Nothobranchius furzeri: one gene and its partners. The protein of the gene in region 2 interacts with the protein of the main gene of each other region in a pairwise test. Links are inferred from orthologs where the notes say so. Each region holds a gene or a part of one and is shown on either strand. Other genes may lie near its edges. The genes, in order: hsf2bp, cdc73, fibronectin type III and SPRY domain-containing protein 2, tfcp2 and alas1.

The links.
Region 1: the proteins of cdc73 (region 2) and hsf2bp interact in binary tests that used the Homo sapiens proteins (3 or more experiments, as listed by UniProt). The link is inferred for Nothobranchius furzeri from reciprocal best matches to the Homo sapiens genes CDC73 and HSF2BP.
Region 3: the proteins of cdc73 (region 2) and fibronectin type III and SPRY domain-containing protein 2 interact in binary tests that used the Homo sapiens proteins (3 or more experiments, as listed by UniProt). The two-hybrid records come from large-scale screens. The link is inferred for Nothobranchius furzeri from reciprocal best matches to the Homo sapiens genes CDC73 and FSD2.
Region 4: the proteins of cdc73 (region 2) and tfcp2 interact in binary tests that used the Homo sapiens proteins (3 or more experiments, as listed by UniProt). The two-hybrid records come from large-scale screens. The link is inferred for Nothobranchius furzeri from reciprocal best matches to the Homo sapiens genes CDC73 and TFCP2.
Region 5: the proteins of cdc73 (region 2) and alas1 interact in a two-hybrid assay, tested with the Homo sapiens proteins (3 studies listed by BioGRID and IntAct). The two-hybrid records come from large-scale screens. The link is inferred for Nothobranchius furzeri from reciprocal best matches to the Homo sapiens genes CDC73 and ALAS1.

The regions. Positions count from the first base shown.
Region 1 is NC_091743.1:81,539,856-81,542,327, reverse strand, and holds the end of hsf2bp (heat shock factor 2-binding protein), read left to right. Parts: intron 1-1,191; coding exon 1,192-1,295; intron 1,296-1,489; coding exon 1,490-1,707; 3' UTR 1,708-1,965; downstream 1,966-2,472. UniProt on the Homo sapiens protein: Meiotic recombination factor component of recombination bridges involved in meiotic double-strand break repair.
Region 2 is NC_091751.1:69,208,855-69,212,373, reverse strand, and holds part of cdc73 (parafibromin), read right to left. Parts: intron 868-3,519; coding exon 762-867; intron 331-761; coding exon 261-330; intron 1-260.
Region 3 is NC_091749.1:41,535,952-41,539,584, reverse strand, and holds the end of fibronectin type III and SPRY domain-containing protein 2, read right to left. Parts: intron 855-3,633; coding exon 605-854; 3' UTR 502-604; downstream 1-501.
Region 4 is NC_091755.1:37,313,278-37,317,434, reverse strand, and holds the start of tfcp2 (transcription factor CP2), read right to left. Parts: upstream 2,807-4,157; 5' UTR 2,580-2,806; intron 2,314-2,579; 5' UTR 2,248-2,313; coding exon 2,126-2,247; intron 1,268-2,125; coding exon 1,116-1,267; intron 659-1,115; coding exon 582-658; intron 496-581; coding exon 390-495; intron 237-389; coding exon 130-236; intron 1-129.
Region 5 is NC_091743.1:62,457,654-62,461,821, reverse strand, and holds the start of alas1 (5-aminolevulinate synthase, non-specific, mitochondrial), read right to left. Parts: upstream 2,806-4,168; 5' UTR 2,662-2,805; intron 1,850-2,661; 5' UTR 1,821-1,849; coding exon 1,616-1,820; intron 1,347-1,615; coding exon 1,164-1,346; intron 1,091-1,163; coding exon 950-1,090; intron 824-949; coding exon 604-823; intron 1-603.

The DNA of each region.
Region 1 (2,472 bases), on a different chromosome or scaffold from region 2:
AAGAAAGGCTCAGCACAGATTAGTGAGGAGAAACCACCCCAGACCGTGACAACCGCAGCTTATTCTTCTTAACTGTGATTCTGTATTATTGATTTTTATGTGTTGGAATTGTCAGGATAATTGATCAGTTTGAATGGTTAAGTGGTAAAATTTCCTGGTTACAGTATTTATTCTCAGGTGTGAGGAGAGGGCAGTGAGCGGACTCAAGTGTTGTTCTCCAGAGGCCAAATCTGTTGTCAGACTGGGTTTTATATTCTGTTAATAAAATGGATTATATTTATATAGTGATTGAAATGTTGATGGGAAGGTTGTAGAAGATAAGCTCTCAATCATTTACAAAGAGGGTAAGTGGATATGATGAGGAAACCATGAATCTGTCTAGCTGGCTGCTAGCTAGAATACAGCAAATACAAAGTTGTCTCATGTTTTATCCTAATGTGGTCCTTGAAATGAAGTGTTCTTAATTCCATCCATCCATACATCCATCCATCCATCCATCCATCCATCCATACATACATAGGAAGTGTTCCATCACCCCCATATATATATATATATATATATATATATATATATATATATATATATATATATATATATATATATATATATATATATATATATATATATATATATATATGTATAGTTGGAAAACCATGTCAGGTGACTACATCTTGAAGCTCATTAAGAGAATGCCAAGAGTGTGCAAAGCAGTAATCAGAGCAAAGGGTGGCTATCTTGAAGAAAATAGAATAGAAAACATGTTTTCAGTAATTTCACCTTTTTTGGTTAAGTACATAACTCCACATGTGTTCAATTAATTTTGATGCCTTCAGTGAGAATCTACTGATGTAAATGGTCATGAAAATAAAGAAAACACATTGAATGAGAAGGTGTGTCCAAACCTTTGGGCTGTATTATATATTTATAATATATTTAGTTTAATTAGCTAAAGAGTCCTGGCAGATGCACCCTGTTTTCAGTTTAACATGATTTTAACGAGCTTCAAATGCATTTCAACAACACTTGTAAGTATTTCCTGACTATTAGAACCTATATCTTTAGTAACTTAACTATAATCTGTGACTCGTGTATATCGGCTTTAGTCCCTGGTGTTATTCTGAATAAACCATACTAATGCATGTAGCAGCCCCTCTACTGTTGGCACAGAGTAATATTGTGGCTTTGCTGCAGGTTGATGCTGATGATCTTGTATAATGTCAGCATCAGCATTAGAGGACTGAAGTACATCAGTGAGAACAAACGACTCGTTCAGCTTATCTGGACCCTGCTTGAAGGTGAGGAGCCGTTGTTACACACGTCCACGTGATGAAAACAAGATAAACAGTTAAATTTGATGTGTTTGAAAACAGGAAGTGTTCCATCAGTTTGATATTATTTAAATAAGCACCTGAACATATATTTATTGGTAAAGTCAGTAGGTTTGTATTAGATCTCTGCTTCAGACTAAATTAGGGTTTTTATCTGTCAGATGGACACTGGGAGGTGTGCCTCCACTGTCTGCGCCTCCTGCAGTCAGTGCTTCTAGAGGAGGACATGCTGCTCCCCCTGGGCTCTTTTCTGCTGGATCCAGAGCTCCAGGCTCGCGTCAGCCAGCTCACTTCCAGTGTTCAGCCCAGCCTTAGAGCCACAGCTCAGCAGACTCTTGAGGACCTGCAGGCCCTTCAGCTGGCACACCGCTCCCAATGAGCAGACTTGATCTAATTACTTCTGGTTCTGGACCTGGTGAGGTCAACAGAACCGGGTCCGGTCTTCTACCAGTTAGAGCCCCTTCATGTTAGGTTTCTGTGTTGCCATGGTGAAGAGAACATATCTCTCTACACATGTTCATATTTTGCAAAGACAACAAAAGAAGAGACTCGTGTCTTAGCTATTAAAGTGTTTTATTTTAATACGAATGTTGTGATACTGTTAGATTTTAAAATATTAAAGATGATGTTCACACTCTCATAGCTTCGTGTTGGAACTTTGTCGATTTTGTGTTTGTTCTGTGTTGCCAGCGTGGAAAGATATCGTCTGAAAAAACATTTAGGACAACAGCCAATCCTTGTGGACATCCAATTCAGACTGCCGTACTCAGAGAAATGAAAAAAAGAGCTCCATCTCAGGCCTGAGTTTCCAGGTTAAAGTTCATGGCAGGACAACTGGAAAGAGACTGAACAAGGATATTTGTTTGGATGGGTTGCAGGAGAAATCCTCTGGTTTCAAAAACTACTTGATAGCAGGAATTTGCTTCTGAATGACTTCAGGAGCAATGTCCTTTGGACACATTGGACCGAAGTGAAGATTTTACCAATATGTTGGTGGACACCAGTCAGAGCAAGTATCTCATCTCAGCTTCAAGCGAGGTGGTGGTGGGACCTTAAAGGAAATGAGCATAAAAGTAGTGTCTGGTGCATAACATAGTCAACAACGATGATTATTTATAAAAGTAAAAGTAACTGATCAATAGTT
Region 2 (3,519 bases):
TCAGAAAAAACGGGGCTTGTACTTGATCCCACAGCGCCCTGGTCTGTGTTGGGACTTATAAACATGGTCTCCATGAACAGCTGTGACATGGCTGAGAATCTACTTCTTCTAAGACATTTAATCTAGACTAGATGTTTACCAATATGTTTGATCAGAACAAATCTGTTTCTTCATACTGAGGTTGTTGCTGATGAAGCTGTTTTCACACAGATTCTAACTCATTCAAGCAGAAACACAAAAATCTTCCAGGTGCTACTTACAGCTCTCGCCATTGAGATATGACAGTAAGCCCTTTCGATCCGGTCGTCTGACAACAGGAATGTTCTCCGTCTGTAAACAATGTGCACTCATGTAAATATGAGGTGTGCTCAAGACAATTGGCCTGTATTTGATATAGCGCCTTCTAGAGTCCTGGAACCCCCCAAGGCGCTTTACAACACAATCAGTCATTCACCCATTCACACACACATTCACACACTGGTGGGGATGAGCTACGATGTAGCCACAGCTGCCCTGGGGCGCACTGACAGAGGCGAGGCTGCCGAGCACTGGCGCCACCGGTCCCTCCGACCACCACCAGCAGGCAACGTGGGTTAAGTGTCTTGCCCAAGGGCACAACGACAGCAACAGACTAAGCGGGACTCGAACCTGCAACCTTCCGATCACAGGACGAGCACTTAGCTCCTGTGCCACCGTCGCCCCGAGTGTAATAAAACATCATATTTTGTTTTATTTAAGCCAAGAAGGAGAATTCTACTCACTGCAGCTCTCCGCACGTAGGATGGATGTGAAAGATGCACATTGTTGAGTAAGAATAAAATAGAGTCCAGAGTATAGTACTCCTTGGGCTGGCCTTCTTTACCGGTTCTGGTGTCAGAAACACAAAGAAAAAGGAAAACAAATCAGACATTTTCACTTCACCTGATTTACAAACAATTCCCAAGGGCTTCACTACGGAGCCAGACTTCCTACTAGGGTCGGGCGATTTGTATCAATTTTCCCACCGCCAATCGTCAGTCCAAAAAATGACGATGCATGTGACGTCATCAATCAATCAATTAACCAATCAATACTTTATTAATCCCAGGGGGAAATTAGAGTTTCAGTACACACAATTCAGAGATCAGACATACATGGGCAAGACACATGACAAGAATTGGTGACTGTGGTCACTCGCAACCCTGAGTTGCGCTACCTTAATAGAGATAAGAGGGTTACATGAGGATTGGTTCAGGTGGAGGGAAAAAAAGGCACTTCAGAGTTACCCTCCCACCAGGAGGGCAGCTTTGCTCTGCAAAAAAACACCTCAACAAATATGGAACAGATTTCAGACAACACAACATGAGACTCCAACAGGAAGGCGGGGGGGGGGATCCTGTTTCCCTCAGCGAGAGCAGCCATCTACGACGCTCATCTACTGTACAGTCACAGGTGGGAGGGAGATCTTGGGAGAAGCGAAGAGTAAATATTATATTAATAATAATTATTATTATAATTATTTACTGTGGCAGAAGAAAAAATATCACGATATATTGCCACATCGATATTTTCTTACATCCCTATCTGGTAGCAACAGGTCAAACCTAAAATACCGTAAATCCTCTAATACAGGCCCGGGTCTGTATTTGACTCAAGCTCATCAAGCTCCAGGCCTTTATTGGAAGGAGGACCAGTATTAGAGGCAGGCCTCAATTTCTATTTGAGCAAAATGAGCTAATGGTTCGCTGGAGTTTTAGACAATTAAAATTGCGCCCACATTTTCAAAGTTAAACACATTTCTTTTGACAACGGTAGTTTCGGCTTCAGCCCTCTCCCCCCTCCCCCTGCTCAGCGGCCGCAAACTCACTGATGCGCCTGCAGCCTCTCGGAGTTCCTGCTGCTCTAAACATTAAAATAATTATTTCATTTTCTGTTCCTTACTTCTGATTACCTTCAATGGTGTCTGTTTGTTGCAACCACCAGGTACAAAAACTAACTTGTTTTTATTTGACTATTTTTCTGTCCTGCCTGTTTATTATCTTCCTGCATCTCCTCTCAATCCTAAAGAAAAACTGCTACCTGGGTTCATATATATTCACCTCATGAGTTACCTTTGAACTGCAGTTCTAAAAGATCTACAGACCGCAAAAACAGCGGAGTGCACGCCGGCTACATCAGTTAGGTCACCGAGGACAAAACAGGTGATGCGCCCCGATCCACAGCAGCGAAACGCATCAGGCACAAATAAAAGAATAAAAGACAGAAAACATAAAAGGAAATGAGCCGACATGAACGATCGCGTGTTAAATTAGTTTTTGAGGTGGCGACACCTGATTTGATAATGTTACTGTGGCTGTGCTCAGGACGCAGATGTCTGGAGCGCGTCAACAATCAGAGCTTTGCATGCGCAAGCTGGTTAAGGTTAGGATGGGGGTGAGGGGAATGTTAAATTGCAAGAGGGTAAAGGTCACAATTTGGTTAAATGTCTGTTTTACGGCGGGTGTCGGTACCGACGCTCTGACACAGCGCGTTGCCTCCAGACGCGCAGGAGCTTGTCACCTGCTGACAGCAGGCTGCTGTCTTTTCCGTGGACTGCATCTTGCCGGTCATTATCACGTGACAGCGACTAGTCGATGACAGGCATAACAAGTCACTATAGAGCGGTGAAGTCGACTAGTGACTAGTTCATACAACCCCTACTGCTCCCCAGAGTGTTCTGCAGCATAATCAGCACGTTCTCTTTGAACTTGATATCAAATTTTCGCCTCCTCTTCGTCTCCGCACGGTTAAAGTTACCCTCGCGGTCTATCGCTGGCAAATCAAAAATGAGACGGATGACACAACCGTCCCCCGTACTTGCTTGTTACCACATTCCACCTGGCCACAATAAAAAACCGTCCATTATTCACCTCCGCCGACTCCGGCCAAAATGTGATACCCAGCAGTTAATTAAATACAGGCTAATATTAGAGGATTTACGGTATGCTAAAAATCGCAGTTTTTAAAAACATGTCAACTTTTTTTTGTGTTATTAATGTCTGTTGTCCTTCGGGAATGCTGTAGGAGGACACACAGGGATTTATGGGAATTGGATGAGGAAAACGAAAGGAAGAAAGTAAATCAGTGTTTTGTGATCAGTTTAAATTGACATGATCACGACAAACACACTTTGACAATCCTTGCCATTGTGTGTGTAAAAACAAAGTGTAGAATAGGGCTGCAACAACGAATCGATAAATTCGATGAAAATCGATTAACAAAAGCGTTGGCAACGAATTGCGTCATCGATTCGTTGTGTTGCGCAACTCTTCCAAAAGCCCCCTCCCCTCCCGCCCGCCGTTGCGCGCAGACCGGTGGAGAGCCGGCAGGTGTTTGCAAGAGGAACATGGCAGAAGCAGCGAGACCCCAAAAAAGTAAAAACTTCTAAAGTTTGGGAGCATTTTCAGTTAAATCAGGCGAAGACATGCAACGTTTGTAGGTCAGACTTAGCATGGCACGGGGATACTACGGTGATGATGCAGCGTCTTAAACGCAAGCATG
Region 3 (3,633 bases), on a different chromosome or scaffold from region 2:
TATTTGCAAACAACTCATTTTGCAGTCGCTTTTCATTTGACAGTGTTGCAGGTGACGTTTTTAGAAAACTCAAATCATCTTCTTTTTTTTTCTAATTTGTCTTATGTTCATCATTGTTGAAGCTTCACTTTTTCTTTGTTTTTATCTGACCCTAAATTATGCCCAAATTCTCTTTAGACTAGGAGAGAAAAAGCTTTATAAGCACATCAGCGGACACTTTAATTATGGAAGTACAGGGTGGACTTTTCCCGTTTCAACATGTGAATTCAGATGTAAATTACCAAACTTTTTTCTTTTTCTTTTTCTATTCATCTTTTGTTACTTAAAAGGCCCTTTTTAAGTCCCATCCCATCTTGCTGCAACAGATGGTTTAAATACATATAAAATCCAGTTAAATCTTTTCTTATCTTGGAAAATGGTGTATGCCTGTTCCCATGGAATACTATAATAAAACGCCTAAAACTGTCTCTACTGATTCATTTGAGTTGGGAGTTTACCAAATGTGTTTAAACATTGTTTAATAACATTCATAATGGTCAACATCAGAAACATTCGTTTAGCGCGTTTATTTTTTCCCCCGTATGTTGGGAAGAGACGCTTTCTATTAGATGAGTGTGTACTCGGGAGCTTGGATGCCGTTGTGGACCGTGAGTGCTCCTGGGCTGTCCAGGCTAAAACAAGGGTGGACATAGTTTTGAAAGTGACAGTGGAAGGTGTGCAAATGTTGCCCCAGGTTTGCATTGAAGAATGATAGCGTTCCCCCGTCGTAGTCGAGAGCCACTCCGATGCGTGCTGGGTACACGGTGATCCTCAAGTCCGGACTCTGGCCGTTGTGTAGAAACTCATATTTATGCCTTCACAGAAAGAGCCACATTACTATGAGTTTGTTAGTATAAACAGTGTTTAAACAACTCATGGTTGGTTGCCAATAGGAAAGCAGATGCAGACTTATGTGCAAGCAAGATTGTAACTGGCTGCAGATGAAACAAAATGAACAAGACTTAAAATCTGTGAAGGAAGGATTAAAAAGATGCTCACAATAGAATTACATTTGGGGTTTGTGGGACACACTGCTTCAAGTTAAGTCTTAAAAACATCCAGCTTTGCTCCCAAAAATGGTTGCTATAGAAACACTTGGAAGTAACATTTAATGCAGGATATTTCTTTCCTTTAGTGGACTTAGTCTTGCAGAGAGCAGCCTTCTCTCTTTTTTTTGTGAATGATAAATGTTCTAAAATGGGTGTCAAACTCAAATTCACACGGGGCTGAAATGAAACTGGGACGGAGTCGAGGGCCAAACTTAATATTTTTTGAAAAAGTGACGGCAAATTTGCACATTTTCTTTATCAACATATATGCAATTGTGAACCTTTTAATTTAGAAACAAACTTATTTCTGCATTAACACTGAATGTGGAATAACCAAATTACAAACGAGCAAGTCAGTTTTAAATAAAATACATCAGTGGTATTCATTACTTGTGGTATAATCAGCATTTTAAAAATCTATTCAGGATTTATGTTTTCTTGTTTATTCATTTTTCTTGTGTTTTATTCTCCTTTTTTCTCCTGTAATAAGTTTCATCGCTGCTGTGACGTCTAGCTTTCCCCACTGAGGAACAATAAAGGGATTTTCACGGGCCAACAACAAAATAAAACTCATTTTATCTTAAATGAAAATGCAACATCTCACCTGTTAACTTTCATGTTTTGGAGCAGAAAAAGAGCATAAAACCAACATATTTAAAGCTCAGTTTGCTCCGCTGGTTTACTGTGATGCTCACCTGTTCCAGCCAGATACCTGCATCATGGGGTTGATCTGAGCTGAGGAGGAGACTCCTGTTTTTTTGTTCATCTTCATCATAATAATGACAACATTAGATGACAACAGGTGCTCACATAGGTTTGTGCTGCTGAACATGGAGAGCGTCTGAGCAGCTTTACCACGTTATGTGTCGGGGAGGAAAAATAAAAACTACAGCAGTTATATCAGCTCTGGAAGTTAGTTGGTAAACTTTCTCTTTCAGTCGTGAACACATTACTGAGTGGTTAAAATCTCTGTTTCTGGGCTTCAATGTTGGCAAATAGCTGAGTAAACTCGGCTCTGAGTGAGAGGAGTGTTTACTTTATCCGTGACAGCGGAGCTGCAGACGTTGGAAAAAACACAAAGGAGGGGGCGCTTCAGCTCCGTGCTAACGCCGCAAAACATCATGGGAGTTATAGTCTTTTAGGTAAAATTGGCCAGCGGGTCAATTTTAATATATTTTTGAAATTTATCTTGCGGGCCACATAAAAATGCGCCTTGTGTCTGACACGTGTCCTAAAAGCTAAAAATACAGTCTGCCTAGTTTCTCAGATCTGCACTAACTTGTTTTTCAGAGAACCAGCGTGTTCATTTTGGATTTTAGCTGGTCAAAATCCACGTGCTTTGTTGGAAATCAGATTTCTGTCACTAGCAAAGGATTCAATCATCTCAGTGGCAAACCAAACCTACCTAAAACATTTTTATTTATCTCAAATTTGAAGGTTGGAGATGAGCAGGAAGAGTGTCTTTTCCAGAATGACTCATAACCAGAGACTGTGCACCACATTCAGTGTTTAAAGCAGAGACCGACCGATGTGTTTTTTAAGGCCAATACCGATTTTTTTTAAAGAATTTTGTTGCAGATGGTCGACTATATATATGTATATATATATATATATATATATATATATATATATATGTGTGTGTGTGTGTGTGTATATATATATATATATATATATATATATATATATATATACACACACACACACACACACACATATATATATATATATATATATATATATATATGTGTGTGTGTGTGTGTGTGTGTATATATATATATATATATATATATATACACACACACACACACACACACATACATGTTTTAGCAGCACATTGATTGTGAAGAAGTTACCACTCACTGTGCAATTTAAATTACACAAGTCAATAAATCTCTTAATATTTATTGAACTTCAAATATAAAACACTTAAATGGTGTGTTGGGGTCCTTCGGGCAGTGGCGGATTTAGCAATTTGGGGGCCCAAGGCGAACACAGACATGGGGCCCTTTACACAAAATTTTTGACAATCTTACCTTTAACTAGATTTGCAAAACTCCCCTCTTCTGACATGAGTTATTTTCCCTTTTTATTAGTCCTCCTCTTTTTTCCTGTACTTCTCTCCCTTTGAGCGCTTTCAATATTTGCTCTGCTTTCTTCTTCCTGTCAGTGCTCCTGTGCTTTAGCCTTAGTTATTTTTTTTTTCTATTTTCCATTTTGGTCTGTGTTTTCCTCCCTTTAAACATTTTCCATTGTCTTTCCTTTTCTGCTTCCTGATGTTTACATCGAAAAACGACGCCACTTTCAGAAGAGAAAATAAAAGCTTTTATGAAGCAAGCTGCTGCTTTCTCTTATTGGAGCCACTAGGATAACTCAGTTTCATGCTTAATGTTTTGACTATTGCTTTGAATTTCTTACGAGCACTCCCGCCTCTCTTCTTATTATTTGTGGTCTTATGCCACTTGGCAAACAACAATTTGGTGCATTACCGCCACCAACTGGATTGGAGTTGAATGACTACCAATCACTTCCTGTTTGTGCATCGGTG
Region 4 (4,157 bases), on a different chromosome or scaffold from region 2:
ACCAGACTATTCCCAAAACAGCACTAAATTGGTTAAACTCACTAAGTTACCTTTAAAAGACTAAAATCAATCAGAAGTCCAGAGAAGGAAGCGTTAGAAAGTAAAGTAAAGTTGCAACTTTGATGCTACCTGGATAAAAACAGAGGTTCTCTTTGAGGGATCCCAGAGGAACTCCACAGTGTTTAGCTGAGTGGGGTTGGCCCTGGGGTCGATCATACCCACTGACATGGGGATATCTGCAATGATCCAAAAGTTCTTGTTTGAGCACCAAATTTATCACCAATGTTGTTAATAAACATGCTTTTATCATAAAACCAGCCAATGGTGAACGTGCAGATCATTCTTTTAAAAGTCCAGATGAAAACGGCCGTTTTCTCCACGGGGCTCACCCAGGTCAAGGATCCGGTCTCCAGGCCTGTTCCAGCGCCAGCCCTCCAGCTGCTGGTGCTCCGTGTACTGAAGCCGCCGATCGTGAAACACCACGCGGATAATACTCTGAAACGAGTATACACACATATGTGATATACATGATTTAGTCCAGCAATCATTAAACAACAGAAACACACTGAAATAACTCCCACCTTGACCATTTTACCAGTGATTTCAGGAAGTTCCCCAATTTTCTGATTGTCAAGCATTCTTATTTCATAGGACTGCCCTGCATTAGCAGAGAGAAACAACTTCAAATTAAGATCCCGCCTCCAAGAGGGCCGTCACACACCGCGGACACACTCCTCAGTCATGCAAGGCATGCATCTTTATGTTATCAAGCACAACTACATAGCTATTTATAAAAGAACATAATCTGTAAAAAGAATAATGTGGTAAACATTCAGATGCTCTATTCTAACTTACTGACTGCTTTGCTCATATACATTAAAGCCAGTTTCTATTACTTTCAGTTTATTGTTTCACTGTTAAAACTAACTTAAATCAAAGGGAAACAAAATTTTACATAAATCCATTCAGGCAAGAAAAAAAAAGAAATAAGTTGATTTAATTGTCTGATCAATCCTAAACAGAATGACATGTGAGGATCTGAACCTCTCCTCTCTTGGACCTTGACTTTACACAAAGTCAAAAAAACGTAGCAAGGTGAGGATCCTGATACTGACCTTGGTTGAGGTAGGTGAGGGTTTCATCGTGTAGCTTAATAGCAGGTGAGGTAGGTGCACACAGAACATACTGAAAAGGGAGGATCTTGTTTTCAGAATCTGGAGGCAAGTTGGATTCTTCCTGCTTGAAAATGGGGAGGGCGAGCACGTCGCTGGAGAAGAGAGCAGTAAAAAAAGTGCTGCCTGTGAGCTGCTAAAATCTTTTCACTTCAGTGAGAAACATTCAACTCTTTAAATTCAAGAAAGCTTTAGACAACCAAATCCCCCTTTTTCTGCTTGTTTGATGACCTTCACTAACACAACACACTGTGCTGCTCATTCACTATAATGGAGGGAATACAACTAAATACCAATGTCTCCAGTGCTCATGTCAGAGCTCCCCTCAACACAGGAATTTCTCCAGTGACCAGACACGTTTCATAGCTCTTAATAAACCACAAAAAACACATCTGTCTCCAGAAAAGGAGTTAATTCACTCTCATAAACATAAGATACACCACATCATCAGCTTTGCTAATGTTTTGAGAGATCCTGCAGTTAGAATAAATCAGTTCCATCGTAATCGAACCAAACAGTGAACGCGTACAGCTATTCATTTGTTCTGTAGATGTATGTGCACATCTGTGATTCATAGCAATTTAATAATGTGTGAGCAATTTTAGCTGATCCAGGTTTTAAGATGCCCCTCGTCTAAAAATATTGTCCAGTGGCACAAAGAAAAAGAGCTCAACACAAAAGTAAAGGTCAGAGTCAGGGTAAGAGAAGGCTGATATTCAAACGTACAGCTGAAGAATCCATTTCAATCCTAAACGTATGGACTAAAGCTTACACAAACAAGTAAATGTCAGAAAGAATGCAAAAACCTACACGTTAACCTGAAAGATTTTTATTATTCACTTGATATCAACAATGGCAATAAATTAATAGGCTAAAATTTAGTTAGAGCATCCAGATTAGCAGAGCGCACGTTAATTCCCTCCACAAGGAGAAACAACAAACTCAGGGTGTACCTCATACTGTAGGCTCCGGCACCAAGTTCCTGGCCGATACCAGAGAGACTGGCATCAAAGTCTTGGGCCAGCCCGGACTCGATCACCTCATCCGTGAGGGGCAGCTTCAGAGCCCACGCCATGACGGTGACGCTGTGGAGGTTTTACCGAGTACCGCTGCTCACCTGCTCCTCACAACCTTCAGAGGACTCGAGGGCAAGGTGGGGGGAAAGAAAGATTACTCACAAGTGAACCCCGACACCAACACCGTAAAAAAGTTTCGTTTTACTCAGTAAAATAAATTTCAGACAGAAACTAGTTAAGTTGATTAACTAAGAGCGGTCGGAAATGGGTTTTACAATAAACACGTTTTTTATCTCCCATCTTAAAATTCAGCGAACTTGTGTAAAAATGTATGCAGATTTTTAGTAACGTTTTTGTTACTAACGTGCTCCGATTAGATATTCAAGCTTACCTTTAGAAGATGAGTTTTTCTGTCGTAACAGCGCCGCGGTTTCATGCCATCATGTCGCGCGCTATTTGGCCGAAAGAACTAAAATAAACATCTCTAGCTAACGGCTTGGGTACAGAGGATGCTAGTCCGTATTTACTTTACTACAGTTTCAGGGTTTTATTCAAACCATTTATTCTCTACGTAACGTAGCTATGGACCCAAAGCCCAAGACAGATCTTTATATTCGCTATATATTGCTTCGTTTTGTTTATTAAGCTTCGTCGAAAGGGAGAAACAGTAATTTCCGGTTTTCACTCTTCTTCGTCGCGATCTAAACCGGAAGTGCTCATTACTGCCACCTACCAGTGGTTTTTTTGTATGTTTTATTATTAATTTTTTTTTATTTAATTTTTTTTTTTACCTTATTTTCAATCTGCGATTTCACATACATTCAGTTTACAATGTAACCTACATTCAACGTACTGAAGAATATAGAAAATACAAATGACCTCACTTGAGGAAAATAAAAATTTCATTTAGAACTTGCAACAATTACCACATGACACTATACCATAAAATAAATTATGATGCAAGATAATAATAATTAAAATAAAAATAACATATCAACAAACAAAAAAATGTTCAGAGGTTGATATTTCAACATTATATTTCAAACATGTTTGATTCATTGGACTGTAATTTAAACAACAAGAAACTCAGACATTGTTTCGTACAACTCAGTTATAGATTGGCTATTTTCTGATAATACTTTTAGAGATGTTTTAAATTGTTTTATTTCATTTTTAAAATGGTTAATGTTAGACTTGCTGTTTTTCCATTCAGTTTTATGTATATGGTATTTTCCCATGTTGAAAATAATGTTCACCATTTTGGATATCTTTTTTGGAAGAGCATCCATGTATATCAACACTTTAGATTTGTTAAGCCACACATCATTTCTCTCAATATTTAATAATCGATAAACATCCTCCCAAAAACCAATTGTTACTGAACACGAGAAGAAAATGTGCTCAATAGTTTCACATTCTGTCATACAAAAGACACACTGATTCCCTTCAAAATTAAATCTTTTTTCTTAATGTTTCGGCAGCAGGATAGATATTATGTATTATTTTGAATTTAATTTCTTTCAACTTGGGTGCAATTGGCCATTTAAGATAGCTGCACTATGGCTTTGTTAATGTAGTTTCCTTTCCTGTGATTTTTATTGTTGTTGATTTTTCAATATCATAGAATAACTTATTTTTAACATACTTCCAAGTACTTTGTTATTACATTTTTGTTCACCTAATTTAAATTTGCCAATTTTCAACTCAGGAAGTTTAATCACCACATTCGAATTAAGCAAGGTATTTTTAATCATGAATTTTAAAGGAAGTGGAACAGCTCTACTGATTTGATTATTAAATTTTAAAATTAAATTTTTCGACAAAACATTCAAATTGTAACAAATTGCCATTTTTATCTATCAAATCTGTCACATGTAAAATGTTTTTGTCATACCATTCTTTTTTGAATATAGTCTTCCTATTAATTACAATGGTTCTATTATTCCACAAGGTAGAGCTATGTGGTGTA
Region 5 (4,168 bases), on a different chromosome or scaffold from region 2:
TAGCCAATGGACGATGTGCGATGGTGATTTTGGCCGATTTCTACACATATTCCTCCTCTTTTGAAAACGTTTCAAATTGTGTAAAGGAAATGTTAACTACACCTACTCGAATAAATAAACTCTATGCTCATATAACAACAATTCATGGAAAATACCACAAATGAGCACCGACAGTTTGAAATTGTGACTCTCAATATTAATAAAATAAACAAATCTGTATAATGTGCAGTAATATTTGGGAACATGACAGGAAAAGACGTCACACCTTCAAAACATTAAAAGGTGTTACTCTAATAAGGCGGTGGTAAACTGAAGGTCAGAATTGTTTTCAGGTGTATTTATTAGTTTTGACTAGGCTGACTGATCAGCGTGGGACACCTGAATGTTTCTGGTCTCAAAAGCACCACTAGAACACCGAACGCTGATCAAGTCGGTCGTAACAGCGCCACAAAAATAAAAATGATTAGACAATGAGATGCGTGGTGCCCTGCTCCATGAGCTCGGTTTGGTTCGCCAATTTGACAAAAATGTTTTAAACCCTGATGTGTTGGTAGAATGATATATTGGTCTATCCCCAATGCTAACTAATACTTTATTACTTACATGATGGATTGAGCAACTCGAGGGTGTCGACTCATGCCCAGGTAGTCGTTGCTGCACCAAACAGACACCTCCCGTTTCTCCTCCAGAGAGCCAGTGAAGTCATCAGCCATCGGGAATTCGGTGGCCAAGCGGTTCACAGTTTTAAACACACGATATGTGTGGTCGCTCTTCTTCTCTTCAATCTTCTTCTCAAAAAAATCATCATACTCGAAGCGGGACACTGTGACAGGACAGGAAGGTGAAACATGCTCAACTTTGTTGCAACAGAAAGTTGATCAATAAGGAAACTGGATAATACGCAAGACTTGGCCTGCAAAAAAAAAAAACAAAAAAAAAAACACCATACTTCTGCCGAACAAGTTGTCCTGCAGCAGGTGGGTGACCCTCTTTGGACGCTGCTTTAGGAGAGTCTTCATCAAATTCCTTTGCTCCTCAGCTTTACTGGTACTGGTCAAGGATGGCTGCTTCACCTGGGCAGGTGACACCTCTGAACATAAAAAGAACAGTGTTAATACACAGCCTGTTGAACTAAAATGTTATAAATAAATACCAGAAGTTACCTTTCTGGACAGTGCGTACTTCCTCTACATCCTCTTGGAACTCCATGGTAACCTGGCGGACCACACCGCTGTACTTCTGGTTCATTTCAGCAGTCAGGAAAGGACATTTGGAGGCCACCACTTGACCTGCAGGAGCCACGGGATGACCAGCAGGCAGCTTAGGCTCCACTTCCTGTTTAGGGGCTGCAGGTGGAAAAATGTGTACATGTACAGATAACCCTCTCAGGCTCAAAATAAGTTTTGATAAAAGGACAAACAACTAAGTCATTCACGGGTACTTCTGAGCTAAAAAATGCTCATGAAATATGTATGTGAAGTAACCAGGTAGGTAGGTTTTAACTGTTGCAAATCCGCAACGCCTGCCTCCAGCGGGTTAAAAACCAGCATGCTACACAGCTGTACATTTGTTTTTCAAATAGAGAATTTAAACATTTGTCCTTTATCACACTCACCATCAGTTGCAACCTTGGTGTCAGTCTGATGATAAGAAGTTGAAGAGCAAAGTGCTCGAGCCATTGAAGGGGCCATGGGTTTCGAAGCCAGCTCCATCATGATGGGGCAGCGTTGAGCATAAGTGACCAGAGACTTTTTGGATTGTTGGAAGAAGGCCTGAGGCATACCAGCCAAGAACGGGCAACGGCGTATGATCACATCCATTATGAGAAGTGGTGTGCTTGTTAAAAGAGCTAGAAGAAATAAAACAATAATATATTAAATATTAGTTAGCTCAATAGCCAATATAGGTCACACTATCTAAAAATGGAGTTCTGGAAATAGTCGTATACATGGGCCTTGTTCTGTAAAATATAAGTCACACTACTGTCAAGGTCTTTGATAAACCTTTGACGTCAAATTAAGGTTTGTTTTGTCTTAAAAACCAGAAACCTTTCATGTTAAAACTCTAAATGACCATGTCAAGAATTAAAAATACCCATGAAAAAGGATCTGTGTTGCACCTTCACACCTAGGAAAATAATCACTTGCCAGTCACCTCTTTCTTTACTCATTCTAACAAGTGTCTGTGTACTTACAAAACAAAGGGGAAAGTTTTACACAATTCCTAAAAACCCTTCCTCTCCCAGGGACTCCTTCCCAGTTGATGTCAGATTTCCACATTCCAGGACAAAGTCCAAAACTTGTGTACAGTTTCATCCAAAAGATAAAGTTTATAAGGCTAATAAAATGTTTGTAAATAGATAGAAATATCAATTTATAGACTACATTAAGAGTGAAAGCTGGTAAAATCTCGTGGTTTTACTCAGAAACCCGTTCGCAACCTGAAATAAATATAATTTGTGTTAAATATAGTTACATTACTGCCATGTAAAGTACCTGGTGTTAACAAAATAATAATAACTTTTGAACGTAATGCTTTTAGAAAGCATAAAGTTGAATCATATTTAAAGATCTTCCTGTGCTCTCTGAAGGTTGACCTCGCTCAATGTTAGCTAAAATGCTAAAGCCGCCGCCTATGAGGTTAGAACATTAATAAACCTACCTTTAAAATTAACACCAGGTCGTATAATCCTGCTATGCCGTGTGATGAACAAGATAAAAACAAGGTCGTTCCACAGATGTGACCTGAAAATAATGTACTTGTTTTCCTTATAGAGAGTAGATTGTCAGTGCTTCGTTATCCTGCACTGAGGACGAACGAAAAGGACGGCGACGTTCCAGGGTTTATAATACCTCACACTCCCACCGACCCCTACGTCATATTCTCGCGAGATTATTTTCTTGTAATCCATTGATGTAGTATATTGATAACGTATATAAAATATAGATAGTGTAGTAAATAGTAACAAATATAGATATAAATAGTAAATATAGATATAGTAATTTTCAATAAAGTTGAAAAATACATTTATCCTACCCTCATGATATATTAATACTGCCACTAAGCTATTGTTATAACCACACACTAAGTTTTGAAGCAATGGTTTGGAATTATTTTTTTATTTTTATTTTTATTTTTGTTTTTAAACGTGCCCCTCCAGCAAGGCAACCTTCCCTGTATTTTCCTTATTGTTGAAAATTTTAAGTAGGCAATACAGTTTAATTATCACAGTACCCAATTATCACCAGTCTTTTGGCTCTAGAAACGTTATAATGTTCACCGTAATTATCCAAAAGGCTGTTCATATCACCAGGCCATCATTATCAAAACATTGTTTAAACAGTGATTTTTTTGTTTTGTTTCCAAAGATGTCAGATAACATGGAGATATACAATTACAATTATGTTTATATAGTTTTAGTTTGTTGCAAAATACAACTTGTTAAATTTAAGTGGTTTTATGATTCAGCTTGCTTTCATAATAACAGTCATGTAGTATTTTAATCAAAAACAGTACCTGAATCTGAATATTTTAGTATTATTTTGTCTGTCTTATCCAGTATTGATTTCATGTCCAACAACTGATATATAACCATTTAGAAACACTGGTGAAAGTTAATCACTATCGTAAAAGAGCTACTTTTTGGAGGTTAAAATGAAATTTACATGTAAAGCAAATCATAGTTGCCACTGCTATTTGACTAGGACCACCAATTTATATTTGATGGTGACCTCACACCAACTTTACTTCAGTGCTTTGCACTCATTGAATAAATTTCACATTTGTGAGGACAAACACACACACACACACACACACACACACACACACACACACACACACACACACACACACACACACACACACACACACACGTGGCAAGCAAGAAATAGCGGTATAAATAAATTAAGGATAAGAATATTGTAACAACACCACCCTGGGTTTTTGTGACCTTTTTTAAAAAAATCGGTTTTAAAAAGAAATAAACGTTAGCTGATTATATATTTTAATTTACTTTTGCCTCACCTGAAGTGTGGTAATATTTACTGTGCTCTGCTGCCCCCTCCAGTTCTTCTTAAGCCGTTACACATGAATTGTAAAAATTGTTTCTCTGAGTCAGAAATTAGATCGAGTCATAATGGCTGATTCCTGCTAAGGAAATTGAAGCAGC